Regions from separate parts of the Mus musculus genome. Here all the other regions are reported to be linked to region 1. The links are microRNA targets in miRTarBase. Many come from high-throughput screens and were not tested one by one. Region 1 holds a microRNA gene; each other region holds the end of a gene's coding sequence.

Region 1 (3,084 bases):
CAGAGAGACTTACCCTCCCTCTTTCCTCCATCCCCAGGGCACCTGGTACCAGAGGCAAGGGCCTCCATCCTGCCTTCTCTCGTGGCAGCCGCTGTAGCAACCACTGACGCAACCGCCCCAGCCCTCCCTTGGCTCTGTAGCCTCTACCGTCCTCCAAAGTACTCTCAGAACCTTCCAGAGGCTGCTTCCGAGGGCTCCTGCCAGAAACAGTTCACCCTGGCTCCTTCCGAGCTGCCTCCTTGTCTGAAGGAGCCCCCTGCCCTGATCCTGGCCCTGGTCAAGCCACAAAGGTGCCCATCGGGGACACTTTGCAGTCCTGCCTTCTGGGCCTCTGCTTGTGTCACTGGGCAAGCCAGGACTGCTGGCCTCTGTGCCGAGAGGCCATGAGAAGCACATTGGATGTTCTTGTCACTGCCCACTTGGGAGTAGGTGAGGTCCAGTGCCCTAGGTTATGAGGATCTGGCAACTGCTTGCTGACCTTGGCAGGAAGGTGGCTTGTTTGGGTGATGGTATTGGGATGTGATGGGAAACTCTGCTGCCCTCTGCAAGTCCAAGAAATCAGACTTTCTCCTCACTTGTCCTTGTCTTCTTGAAGGACAATTTGGGCTAGTGCACAACAACGAGCTGGTGAAGAGCTGGTGAGGAGGGTTGCTAAACTGCGGATGACAGCAGTGGGGGTGGGGTGGGGGGAGTAGGTTGTAGGACCTCCAGGAGAAGGCAGCTGACCCCTCTGCAGGGTCTGCAGGCTGGAGAGTGTGACTCCTGTCCTGTGTATGGCACTGGTAGAATTCACTGTGAACAGTCTCAGTCAGTGAATTACCGAAGGGCCATAAACAGAGCAGAGACAGATCCGCGAGCACCTTGGAGCTCCTCACCCCTTTCTGCCTAGACCTCTGTTTCCAGGGGTGCCAGGGTACAAAGACCTCCTCTGCTCCTTCCCCAGAGGGCCTGTTCCAGTACCATCTGCTTGGCCGATTTTGGCACTAGCACATTTTTGCTTGTGTCTCTCCGCTGTGAGCAATCATGTGTAGTGCCAATATGGGAAAAGCGGGCTGCTGCGGCCACGTTCACCTCCCCCGGCATCCCAGGGTCTGTGTGTCTCACTGGCTCCCTGGCCCATCTGGCTTACTGCTGGGTGAGGAGGGTACAGCCCTACCCTGGTGAACAGCCAGATCACCTTTCACTGCCTGAGGCCAGAGTGGAGTCGGAGCTGGGCAATCCGAGCTGGGCCAACAGATGGAGATGCTTGCGGTGGGGGTGGGGGTCGCCATCTGTAGGGCCAGCTTCTGTGATGCCCTGTTGGGCTCCTCCTCCTTAAGGCGAGCCGTCTTTGGGGTCTAGCCTTCTGCTACAGGATTCCAAGGAAGCAATTCCAAGCAATGGGATATCCTGTGCTCAGCATGAGTGTTTTATGAGGGTGGCTGTCCCTAGAGCCTACCATCAGTGGCTTACCTTAGGTCAGTGATGAGAGGGATACTAGTGTGGAGGGCTGGGAATGTTCTGGAAGGCTCAGTTGTGGCCTTTCCATCCACCCACTAGTGTTGGTTTCCTGCATCCTTGGAGTCCCTGTGACTTAATGTCCCTAAGCTGCCCATATATGTGTTATGTAACATTGTGTATGTAAGCTCTGATCTCGAACAGCTGCACCAGTTTGTAAAGAGTCATCTCACAGATGGAGGGACAGGCTGGAGGTCCATTAGTAGTGAAGTAGGGTCGCTACCTCTCTTCAGTCACGACAATGTATTGACCTCCAGTGGCCTTGCTCTGTGGAGAGTGCTCACACACCCCTGCCCCCTGTGGCTGGGTGAATCTTGGCTCTGACCCTTCATATATCCCTGGCCTTCAAAATGAGTTAGATCTGGACCTGGTCCATAGGGCTTAGAAGAGCCCACCCACCAGCCAGGCTCTTGGGTGAAGCCCTGGTGGTTAGCAGGCAGTGAGAGCTGAGCTGACTAAGCTGGTCCACTGACCATCTGGTAGCCATCATATCTGAAGTTACTGGGCCAGCCCCTAATGAGACTGCTTCTCCCTGGGGAAGGGGAACTTCTTGCAAGAGCCAGTTACTCAGTCCAGTTACAGTTAGGTGGCCAAGCTAAAGAGGGCTGGGGCCAGGCCAGGGGAATGTGTACAGTTGAGTCTGGAAGTTAGAGATCAACCAATCCAGTTGACTGCTCACCAGGAACGTGCCTGAGCATCCAGGGCCGCCCGCCTGCTTGGGTGCCCTGAGAGTTGTGTTGGATAGCGAGGACATTTAGACCTACTACTGCCAACTGGGGGCTTCCATAAGTCTCTGGGGTATGGCACTAATGTCCTGTGCAGAAGGCTATCTGAGCACTTGCGGGAAAAGGAAGGACAGGAAGAGACCTCACCGCCTCACCCTGGTGAGGTCTCTGTTTCGGGTCTTGCCTCTGTGAACCCAACTCTGCTCCTGTCCAGCACTCAGGGGGCCACTCAGAGCTGGGTCCCTCTAACCAAAGCAGTCCTCAGACCCCTAGTGGTCCTGCCTCTCACACTGGCCTTGGTGGAGGCTTTGCTGAGACCTCACTAGCAGGTGTTGGTATGGCCCAGTTCTATACTTCTTTCCAGGCTCAGGGCTCCACCCCTCTGGGGCCTGCATTCCCAAAGGATGACCACTGGCCATAGCTTTCTGGTTCTCCTCATCTAGCCTGTTCTCGACCTGGGTGAAAGTTCACCTATAGTAGTGACTGCCGGTGAGCAGAGGCCACAAGGCTGGTTGGACTCCGCAGAAAATCAGCTTCCAGAGGACCATGCTGGTGAGGGTGCGGTAGGAGGGGAGGGCTCACCCTGTCAAGCAGGACCAGTTTCTTCCTGGCTGTCTGATCCTGCGGAAGGATTTACCCTTACCCTCTCAGGGCAGTTGGTGCAGTTTAATCCACTGGGGACCTTCTTATATTGTTCGGGCTCGGTGGCTCCTAGGTGCCTGAGTTGCTGCCTCCTGGGTAGGCTCCTTGCCTCATTGCCTGGTGTTGGGGTTGCCTGGGCCAGCCGCTCCCCAGAGTCCCTGTGAGGTGGATTATTCCAGACTTTCGCCCTTCCCCCACCCCTGCATTTGCTTATTCAATC
Region 2 (3,084 bases), not on the chromosome of region 1:
CCTTGAGCATTCAGTTACATGCAGGTGTTTTGTATTGATCAAATAACACATTCCTTGCAGAAAGACCTTTGTAGATCATAACATGCTTTGAGAAACCAATTCTTAGCATGGTCAAAGTGGCCTTTTCATTTTATGATGGAAAAGTGACTCAATACTATTACGCCCATTTTTTTGATCATTTAATTCTGAAAAAATAACTACTTTCAATTTTATAGTTACAGTAAAATTAACATTACAGAGAGTAAAGTGAAATCATTTGTTGAATAATTCAAAGGGTATCGTGAAAACCCCACTGTGCGAGCCCTGCCCCAGGAGGCTGAGGCAGTCTGGATCCAGAGGCTCAAGGTCACCCAGGGTAGGTCATAACAGCCGTAACAAGACTGTCTTGGGAAAGCCACGCCTAACCAAACCAAACCAAACCCAAAATGCCCCTTGGGAAAACTAAGCTCTAGATAAGGGAGACTTGTAGGCCGGTGGTTCTCAACCTTCCACATCTAGGTTAGAAGGAAAAAAAAAAAAAAGAATCCACCTTGAGGCTGCATGCTAGACCAGCTTATCATGAGTATCGGGGTGAGCTCAGGCACATTTTGTTTTTGTTTTTTTTTAATTTCTACATGGCTCCAGTGAGCAGCAAAGTCCTTTAAATTCATAGTTTTGGATAAATTAAACTCATCTAGAAGTCCACATTAAGAGAGTATTTTTGCCTTTCAAATTATTCAGGTCTGAATAGCAAAGTACTCTAGCCTTAAGTTGCAATGTGTCATGAAGACCTCAAACATGATGGACGCTGAACTAGGATGAGAGCTGTTTTACAAATTTTATTATTTATTATTTATTTATTTATTTATTTATTTATGGCCCCAGATGTCCTGAAGCGTGTTCTGTAGACCAAGGCTGGCATTTGATTTTCCAAGCCTGTAGCCCCACCTGCCTCTGCCTCCTGTTTTGCATATTTTTAATAAACACATTTTATCAAACGTTACTAACATGAATAATTAGCGTGGCTATATTAATAACTTTGTTCCCATGAAGTAATTGAGTATCCCTAACAATCTCTGCCTCTGCAGAATTGTAACCTTTTTATCTTATGACTTCTCTTATACAGACTTTTTTTTGCTAGGAGAGGACATAGGAAGGTAACTGTCAAAACAGTTTCAAATGCAGTAGGCTCAGAGGTGGCACATCAGACATGTCACCTCTCACATGTGGATTCTTGGAGCAACTCAGCATTTTAATATTCAGTAATAACCACAAAACCCAATTTTTTTCTTATAGGAAAGAAGCAAAAGAATCAAGAAATACTTCGTTTTTCCCCATCCTCTCATGCTAGGAGACTCACATTAAGCAGGATCTGCAAAATGTTAAAGAAACAATCAAGAAGCCGGAAGAAGAAGCACAGGCCACGTGAGTGCTCTTAAGTTTGTTTTGTAGCATCAGTAGAAGTCTTCAGAGTTGCCATGAGCAGACTCGGGGACTAACTTTTCAAATCACAAATGGATACACATGGCCAGATTTTTGGGCTAAGGGTCTTTGTTTCCATGGCTAGAACATGAGTCTCTCAAAGCCTTCAGATACGAACATGGCCACTTACCCATCCAAAACCAGCCACGGGGACCTTCTATGTATGTCATATTTCACTCTATCTCAGAGACTTCCAGTTATAAGATCCTGACTCAGAAATGTCATGACTGGAAAAAAGTCTCAGGATCAATACAGTGTGGCCTATATATCTTGTTTTAAGAAATTGAATATGAGAGAATGGGAGTGAGCATATTTATTCAGTAGACAGAAGAAATATGAGTCGTAATGCTTAACATTTTTAATTACTTCCATAATCACTGTAGCAAAAAAGAATTATCAGAACATGGAGTTATTTTACAATTAAATTCTTTATTGTTTTCTTCTTTACAGGAACAATAATCTGAACATGTCTTCAACCAAACTGTCTCTAAACAGAAAGTTCGTTATATAAATTATGCTTTATTTTTGAAATATTACTAAACACTGTATTGGTGAAAATAAATAGCCATTGACAAAGACATCCTTTGTTTCTGTTTTTGCCATCACACTCCACAAGCACATCTGCCTTTGTAATTCCTCGAAGGTAATGTATAGACAACAGAAGGCATAATGATGCCACAGCAATTGAGTTCAGAATACACTTGTTAAAGGTTCTTCACAAAAAGCAGGGAGACACCATCAGCACAGGTGTACAAAAACATGGCCGTGCTCCAAAGAGCAATTACCCCTGCCTGTTTGGGCTTCCGGTGTGATAGCTAAGATAGGCAGAGCACAGTAACAGGAGGCCCTGTAGTCTCCAAGTGTAACCACAAGGTCCAATAAATCCAAAGATAAAGCACAAGCATTATAATATCTGGACAATCTTCTTCCCATGTATGAAAGAATGCTATTAATACATTTTAATTCTTCTTTACTTTTTTTTAATGAAGAATACTTTTCGGGATTTTTTTTTTTTTTTTTTTTTTTTTTTGGCATTTTATATTCAATGTCCATTGGCCCCTTCTGAGAGTATCCGTGATGGTTCGGTAAATTTTGCAGTAAACAAGTAAAACAGAGCTGGTGTAGGTACCAAAGCCAAAAGCGGTAGGTCGTGTTCCAGCCTGTCCACTCTGGAGATGGAGACTATGCCATAGGCGTGCAGTAGCCAGTGGCTGAAGAGAACGATAAGTCTTTTCTTCCTGACCAGGAGATCATAGCAGTTCTATGGGATCATTGGAAAGGAAAAGAGAAACAGATTAGCAAACCCAGCTAAACCACTGCTCCTTATACACTCATGGCTGGGACTCTGAAAGCTTGAGCTAAAACGGACTTGAGAGCCCCAGGTCTAGCCATCACACCGTCCACAGGGCCACACAGGCCCTCGGCAGCCATACTTGGCCTAGAGCCCTTCTCTGCATTCTCATCCATGTCACCATTTACTTGGGGAACATAAGCTTCCTGAGATAGACATGAACTAAAGAGGAAGTGTAGAGAGCATGCTCTCTCCATCCAGGCCCACTGCAGTTCCAGAACCCTCACTCCCTGACTCTGAGGTCTCCGGTATCTCCAAGAATCACTGAACCA
Region 3 (3,084 bases), not on the chromosome of region 1:
TGTGAGTTATCTTAGCCTGTGAATTTGTTTTGTATGTTGAGTGTGGATATACATTCCCAGAGGCAGAAAAACGCAGCCTGTGAAACTTCGGAGCCAGTGCAAGTGGACAGGGTAGGGCTTACTTATTGATGCTCGTAGGTCAGCGAGGCTAATCCTGGGAAGCTTTCTGGGGCTCCTAGGAGAACCTTTATTTGCTGGCGGGGAGCTTGGCTTTTGTGTCTGTTGTAGGGTACTAGGGGTGGGAGTGTCAAGAATCAGTTCTAGAAGGAGCCCGAGGCTGTGGATTTGCCCTGCCCACCTCACTCAACCAGCAGAGGCTCCGGAACACTGGATGCTCTTGGCTTACCATTAGCCAAGTTCATTACCAGCCACAGCATCAGGGTGGTGCAACAACAGGTCTGAAGGTCTGAGCTCAGACTTGATCCTACCAGCTTCAGCACAGAAGGCCCATGTCTCTGAAATTCGAAGCCATGTGGCCTGAAACAAAAGTGTTTCCACAGGCCCCCACCCCGCTCTGTGAAGCTGTTCTGTCTCCCTGGAGGCCTAGCACCCAGAAACACACACACACACACACACACACACACACACACACACACACACACATTGCAAGATACAGGATATAGAACTGACCATGAAAAGCCCAACTGAGACCAGAAACTCCCAGTCTGGGACTCTCAACATTCCTTCGAAAACCCTTCAGTCCCTGGGGACAAAGGCTTAGGAGGGAGCCCTGTGTTGACGCTCAGTTTATTAGGAGGGATGGTTTCCTTTAGAGGGGGAGGGGAAACAGCTGTGATTTTAAAACACCACCTTTCCCTTTTAAATTGGTTTTTGTATTCTTTGACACAAACAGCGATTTCAGTGAGCAGCAAAAGACACAGCATCGGAAGAGAAAAGAATAAGTACCAATGGGGACATGGATGTCAGCACCCTGCACAGATAAGGTGCCTAACTGGAGAGAAGTCAGGTAGAAGGCAGAGGGGGCTGTGCAAGCTATAAACCCTCCTGCCCTCAGACATGGAGGGCTTGCTGGGAACGTGCAGTTGAACATAATCTCCACGAGGGGAACCTGCCTTTCTCTTTCCTGATTGGTTTGTTTCAGCTTTGTCTACCTTTTGCAAGAATCCAAACCCATTAGTATCACTCTGAGGAATACTGAGAACTCCAACCCCTGGAGGCTTTCTTACATCCCTGTCCCAGAAGGAGCATCCTCCAACAGGCTCACTGCTTTCTTCTCCATGAAATGTTAAGATCTCAGGTCACGTTTCTGTCTGGCATGGAGGCCCAGATATTCTGTCTGAATATCTCACCACTTCAGACTTTTCCAATGTACGGAGCTGTTAGGGACCTGTTGCTTTTGAACTTACCAAGGAATCAGCGTCCTTATTTGCGAATAATATCTCAGCTGATGGCAGGAAAGATCACAGAAGTGTTCACACCCAAGCAACTGTTTTAGTTCAAGAAAAGGTAGCTTTGTTTTGATAAAACAAAAAACAAAAAACACTAGCATTCAAGTTGCCCTGAAAATTGCCTGAAGGCAATTTTTGGTGTGCCAAATAAGTTTTACGCCAAGATCAAGTTTCCAGCTTCAGTCAACTGACTTGAAAATGTCCACCTGACGAAAAGCTGTTTGCTACCTCACCTTGCCAGCTCACCTGGCCGGCTAAAGGTTCTTAGGAGAGAGATAGGCAGATGTATGTGTTGTGCTAACTCCTGAATGTCTTTGAGTCTAGGAAATTCTATTAATGGAAGGCACATCCTAGACATTGTGAAGCAATAGCAGAAAATGAAACCACAAATATCTTGATCTCGGTATGAAGGACTTTTTGTTTGTTTGTTTGTTTTCGAGGCAGGGTTTCTCTGTATAGCCCTGGCTGTCCTGGAACTCACTTTGTAGACCAGGCTGGCCTCGAACTCAGAAATCCACCTGCCTTTGCCTCCCAAATGCTGGGATTAAAGGCATGCGTCACCACCGCCCAGCCTGAACCCATTTTTTTTGGGGTGGGGGAGTGGTAAAAATATCTACCCCAATCTACTATCACAAAGTGTTTTGTAGATCAATTTTGAGTTTTATTTTTTTTTAAAAAAACAAGCAGTATGCCTGGGGTTCATAAAATTTATATACAAATATATACACAGACACAAATAATATTAAAATAAAAATCACACGGTTTCTCGTGGTGGCGGCCCTGGCACCCCACAAACATAATGCTAACTTTTCCTTTAAAGAAATTGCTTGGCCCAAGAAGACCACAGTTAGGTAACCACTAATAAAGCTGTAGCCGTTGCCTGCAACATTTCAATTCAGGTTTCAAAAATATATAAATAATTTAATTACAAAAACCCAACAACATTTCCCTCTTTTTTTTTTTTTTTGGCACAGTGAAGCATTGGTTGTTAGCAAAGAAAATGACCATAAGTTTGATTGACAGCTCTCTTACACGCAGCAGTCACTCCTGTGAAAGACACACATTTACACAGCGGGGTCTCAAAACCCCAAACAGTAGTCATCATTTACCCCATGGAGTGGTTCCCTGATGTATTTTTCTTTTTCTTTTTTATGGGTGGGGAAGGTAAATCAGTGGAAGGCGTGACGCAAATAGGAGGGAAAGGAAAGCCTCTATGCGGGAGAGTACAGGCCTGGCCAAGAAATGGAAAAGAACGGCTTTGATCCTCTGTAAAGTTACAAAAGACAAAGGAAACTATTCTGGACTAAGTTAAAACACTTGGGTCAAAATGCTTAACTTTAAGGCACATTTGATGGAGAGTTGAAAAAAAGAAAAACTCTATTCCTCCGGAAAGTGGAAAGTGCACAGCCCTAGAGCCCACATTCCAACCTCCTCAACAAAAGGCGCCCCCAACTCCACCCTGCTCAGCACCCCTTCTGCTGAGCACAGAGCTCCTGTCAAGCTAGCAGAGTCTCCACCGGGTAGGACAGGTGCGGACCGGGACCGCAGGCCGCTGCCGCCTGCAGGGCCGTGGGCAGCCGTAGGGGGCAGTACAGGTGCGCCGCGCCGGCGGTCTCCGGACCTCGGAATGGCTTGGCTGGAGCCGCGGTGGAGAGGGGCGCCAGCAGAAGGGGCG
Region 4 (3,084 bases), not on the chromosome of region 1:
TCTTGTTTGCAAGACCCTGGGAGCTTGCAGATATGGCTAGTCTTTCTACCCAGCTTCTCTTGGCCATGCTGTATGCAAACATACCTGATATGCACAGCCACCCATGAAACCATGGTCCCAACACCTCCTAATGTTTTGTTTCCTGCCTTCATGCCATCATTTTCTTGTCATCTTTGCTTAGATTGTGGCTAAGAAGTACCGAAACTATGACATCCCAGCTGAGATGACAGGCTTGTGGCGATACCTCAAGAATGCCTATGCACGGGACGAGTTCACCAACACCTGTGCAGCTGACAGTGAGATCGAGTTGGCCTACGCAGATGTCGCCAGGCGCCTCAGCCGATCGTGAGCTTGGCTGTCTGGCCCAATTTCTGCTGCAGAAGAATTCTACTTCTCCCAATGGCTTTCAGCTCTACAGACTCTTCTTCCCCATTGCCTTGGGGAAACATAAAAAAAAATTAGGCCACATCTTACTGGCACCCCTGAACTCAACTCCAGCCTTCTACCTTCTAAGATCAGTGCCATCCTTCTGCCTTGCCCTGCAGGAGCCTGGCAAGCAGAGGACACGGTGGCAGATTTTTTTTCCACCTGCTGGTCTGATCTAGGGTCAGTGTATCTGGGGTCAGTGAATCTGGGGTCAGTTTGCAGAGCTCTCATGGGATTGTCACCGTTCCCTTCTGCCAATATCATAATGCTTTCTCAGATGCGCTAACAACTTGAAATGCCAGCTTCTCTCTCCCCTCGTTCCTCAGCAAATGCAAGGTGATGGACAGATACATCATCGTCAGGGAGAGATCTATGCCTTGATTGGGGAGACAGTGGTTGGGGGGACTCAGCTGGGTGTGGCTCTAGCAAAACAGTTCCAGATGCTCACTATTTCTGACAGTGGGCCAGATGGAGACACCCCCAACACACAATATACCCCAGTTTTCTGGTGCAATATGATTACATCCTGGCCAGCACTGACCCAAGTTTTCCTCCTGTCTCCATTTTGCCACAAAGGCAGTCGATTTATAACTCTAAACCAAGGTGACCCAGATAGGGAGAGACTTCTGGGAAGCAATATTGATGCCAAAAGGCCCAAACAGGGTCTACAGCCACAGGGGTCACTGGCTGAAGAGTAGTCGTCCACTGGAGATCACATGAGAGTGTGTGTGTGTGTGTGTGTGTGTGTGTGTGTGTGTGTGTGTGTGTGTGACTGTGTTCTTCAGTGGGTAGCTTTGGGTTTGAGCAAGCGAAGGAAGTGGAGGGATGGGAGGAAATAAAGTTCTATTTGAGTTTGACATAGCCTAGAAAACTTTTAGAGCAGTCTTCTCTCTCATTATCTAAATCTTGGATTGGTGTTACGGCACCCCTACCAACTGTAGAGCAGACTCCAACATCAGCCAAAAATGTCTTCCAGGCTCTTCATAGTCACTTGCAGATGTGGGTTGCCACCTGCCTGTGCCCTGGCTCCCAGTTTCTTCAGCCTCAGCCTCTGATGAAAGAGAAAGTCTATTAATGAATGGTGTGATCGTGGGCTACCTTAGGAAGAAAGCCCATGGGTCTTTCTGACTGGGAAGCCACAACTTGAATTTGGAAATTATGGACTGCCTTGGGCTTGGGTTCATTTTCCTGTCAGCAGGCTCATCTATCAGATTTTCAAGGAAGAGAAAACTTTTTAAAAATTTCTTTATAAACTAATATTTCTCTCTTTAGTAATTCTCCTTGAGTTTTACCTACAACTCTCACAGGGTGTGACCATGAGAACCTAGGCTGATTAGGAACTATGACAAATCAATCACTCATTAGCTCTTCCTCTACCAGTGAGCTAGTGAGTGCCTAGAAGAAATCCATCACCAGGACCTCAACTCCAACAATCCCGCTTCTGTGTCACTGACAGTGGAGGCGAGGCTCCTGAGGGCCGGTAAGGCCCTGGTCTTGGCTCATTGCTCGGGAGGGTGGAGCAGCACAGATCCTTTCCATAGAAATACAACATGGTTTAACCCAAGCAGTCACTGAGCCCTCCTGCCTCTAGGGATCTCCAAAGCAAAGAGTGACCATTGATCCAAGGAGGGAGGAAGCAGGAGGTCTCCCTAGCCCACTGGGGAAGAGGACTCTGCCTGCTAGAAGTTTATAAACCTGAAGGGGCTTTGAAGAGGCAAAATGAGCCGATTCATTTCCATCGCTACAGGAACCTTTCCACGGGCTCTCCATAAGCTACCCCTGGGGATGTTTAAAAGTGTAGCACTGCTGAGGGAACAGCACTTTTTTCTTCAGGGAAGAGCCCTCAATGGGCCTCTCGGGGAAGCAGAACTTCCGGAACCATCCGGAAGGCCGTTTAATTAAAAGAAAACCATGCTGTTCTCCGGGATCCTTCCTAGAATTTACAAGCAGGCAGGGTGAACTCACGCAGCTCACACCCCTATTTTCCAAAGGTGGGCTGGTGTTAAAGATATGAAGACTAGCGTGCATGCTGAGGGGCCTCAGAGGAAGGGGAAGAATTTTCCTCATGTGATGCTCTGAGCCCAGCAATCGGCATGTCTTTTAAAAACAAACTTCCCAAGCCGAGTCGATGTTGTTTCTAGACGGTTCTCCTATGGTTGAGTTAGTTTCACATACATCACAATATTTAGGCAATGTTGGATGCTATAGGATCAATCAGAACCCCTTTAAAGAGAGGCACGATTGTAAATGGGAGGCTTTCCTCAGTACTTTAATGCAGATGTAACTTTAATGTTATCAAATAACTATAATGAGACTAACCAATGTCTTAGGACACAATTATCATAGTATGTAAAAAAAATAGCAATAAAGTCAATGATGATTACCTACCCCACCCCCTCCAAGGAGAGTTTTCTCTGGAGGCTCTAGTTTCTTTGGACCTTGGTCTTAACCTTGATATGTATATGGTTTACCATCTGCAGTCACCCTGTGTTGAGGTTCCAAGTCCCAGCTCAGACCATGTGGAAGGGTTTGTAGTGTGGACTCTACCTGCAGAAATTCTGGATAAGAGCTATTCCGGTAAATGCCAGTCCCCCAGGAAGCATTTGGATGTCAGAGAAAAGGAAGCTATGTTGACAGAGCTATTGTGTATTCTTTTCT

What was found. Region 1 holds the annotated microRNA mmu-miR-96-5p (UUUGGCACUAGCACAUUUUUGCU, at 977-999, shown strand). A microRNA usually pairs through its seed, bases 2 to 8, with sites in the 3' UTR of a target mRNA and lowers its output. Matches are read on the target gene's strand: a 7mer-m8 pairs with bases 2 to 8, a 7mer-A1 pairs with bases 2 to 7 and ends in A, and an 8mer does both.
Region 2: miRTarBase lists Jkamp as a target of mmu-miR-96-5p. Seed matches in the 3' UTR shown: 7mer-A1 at 2,489-2,495.
Region 3: miRTarBase lists Foxq1 as a target of mmu-miR-96-5p. Seed matches in the 3' UTR shown: 8mer at 2,374-2,381.
Region 4: miRTarBase lists Clic5 as a target of mmu-miR-96-5p. Seed matches in the 3' UTR shown: 7mer-A1 at 1,070-1,076.

The regions. Positions count from the first base shown.
Region 1 is chr6:30,167,421-30,170,504 of GRCm38, reverse strand. It overlaps Mir96 (microRNA 96), which reads left to right and starts at 954; the gene lies at 954-1,059. The region is part of intron 1 of Mirc35hg (microRNA cluster 35, host gene); the gene reads left to right. It overlaps Mir183 (microRNA 183), which reads left to right and starts at 768; the gene lies at 768-837.
Region 2 is chr12:72,100,248-72,103,331 of GRCm38, reverse strand. It overlaps Jkamp (JNK1/MAPK8-associated membrane protein), which reads right to left. Exons shown (of 7, transcript NM_024205.2): 7 at 1,805-2,722. The coding sequence ends at 2,504. It overlaps Ccdc175 (coiled-coil domain containing 175), which reads left to right. Exons shown (of 21, transcript NM_028687.1): 20 at 1,276-1,404; 21 at 1,912-2,040. The coding sequence ends at 1,925. Among named protein-coding and RNA genes, the nearest start is that of Jkamp, 16 kb to the right of the region's middle.
Region 3 is chr13:31,559,941-31,563,024 of GRCm38, reverse strand. Foxq1 (forkhead box Q1) reads right to left here. Exons shown (of 1, transcript NM_008239.4): 1 at 2,049-3,084. The coding sequence ends at 2,906. Among named protein-coding and RNA genes, the nearest start is that of Gm11377, 3.1 kb to the left of the region's middle.
Region 4 is chr17:44,275,033-44,278,116 of GRCm38, forward strand. Clic5 (chloride intracellular channel 5) reads left to right here. Exons shown (of 6, transcript NM_172621.2): 6 at 182-3,084. The coding sequence ends at 349. Among named protein-coding and RNA genes, the nearest start is that of Clic5, 88 kb to the left of the region's middle.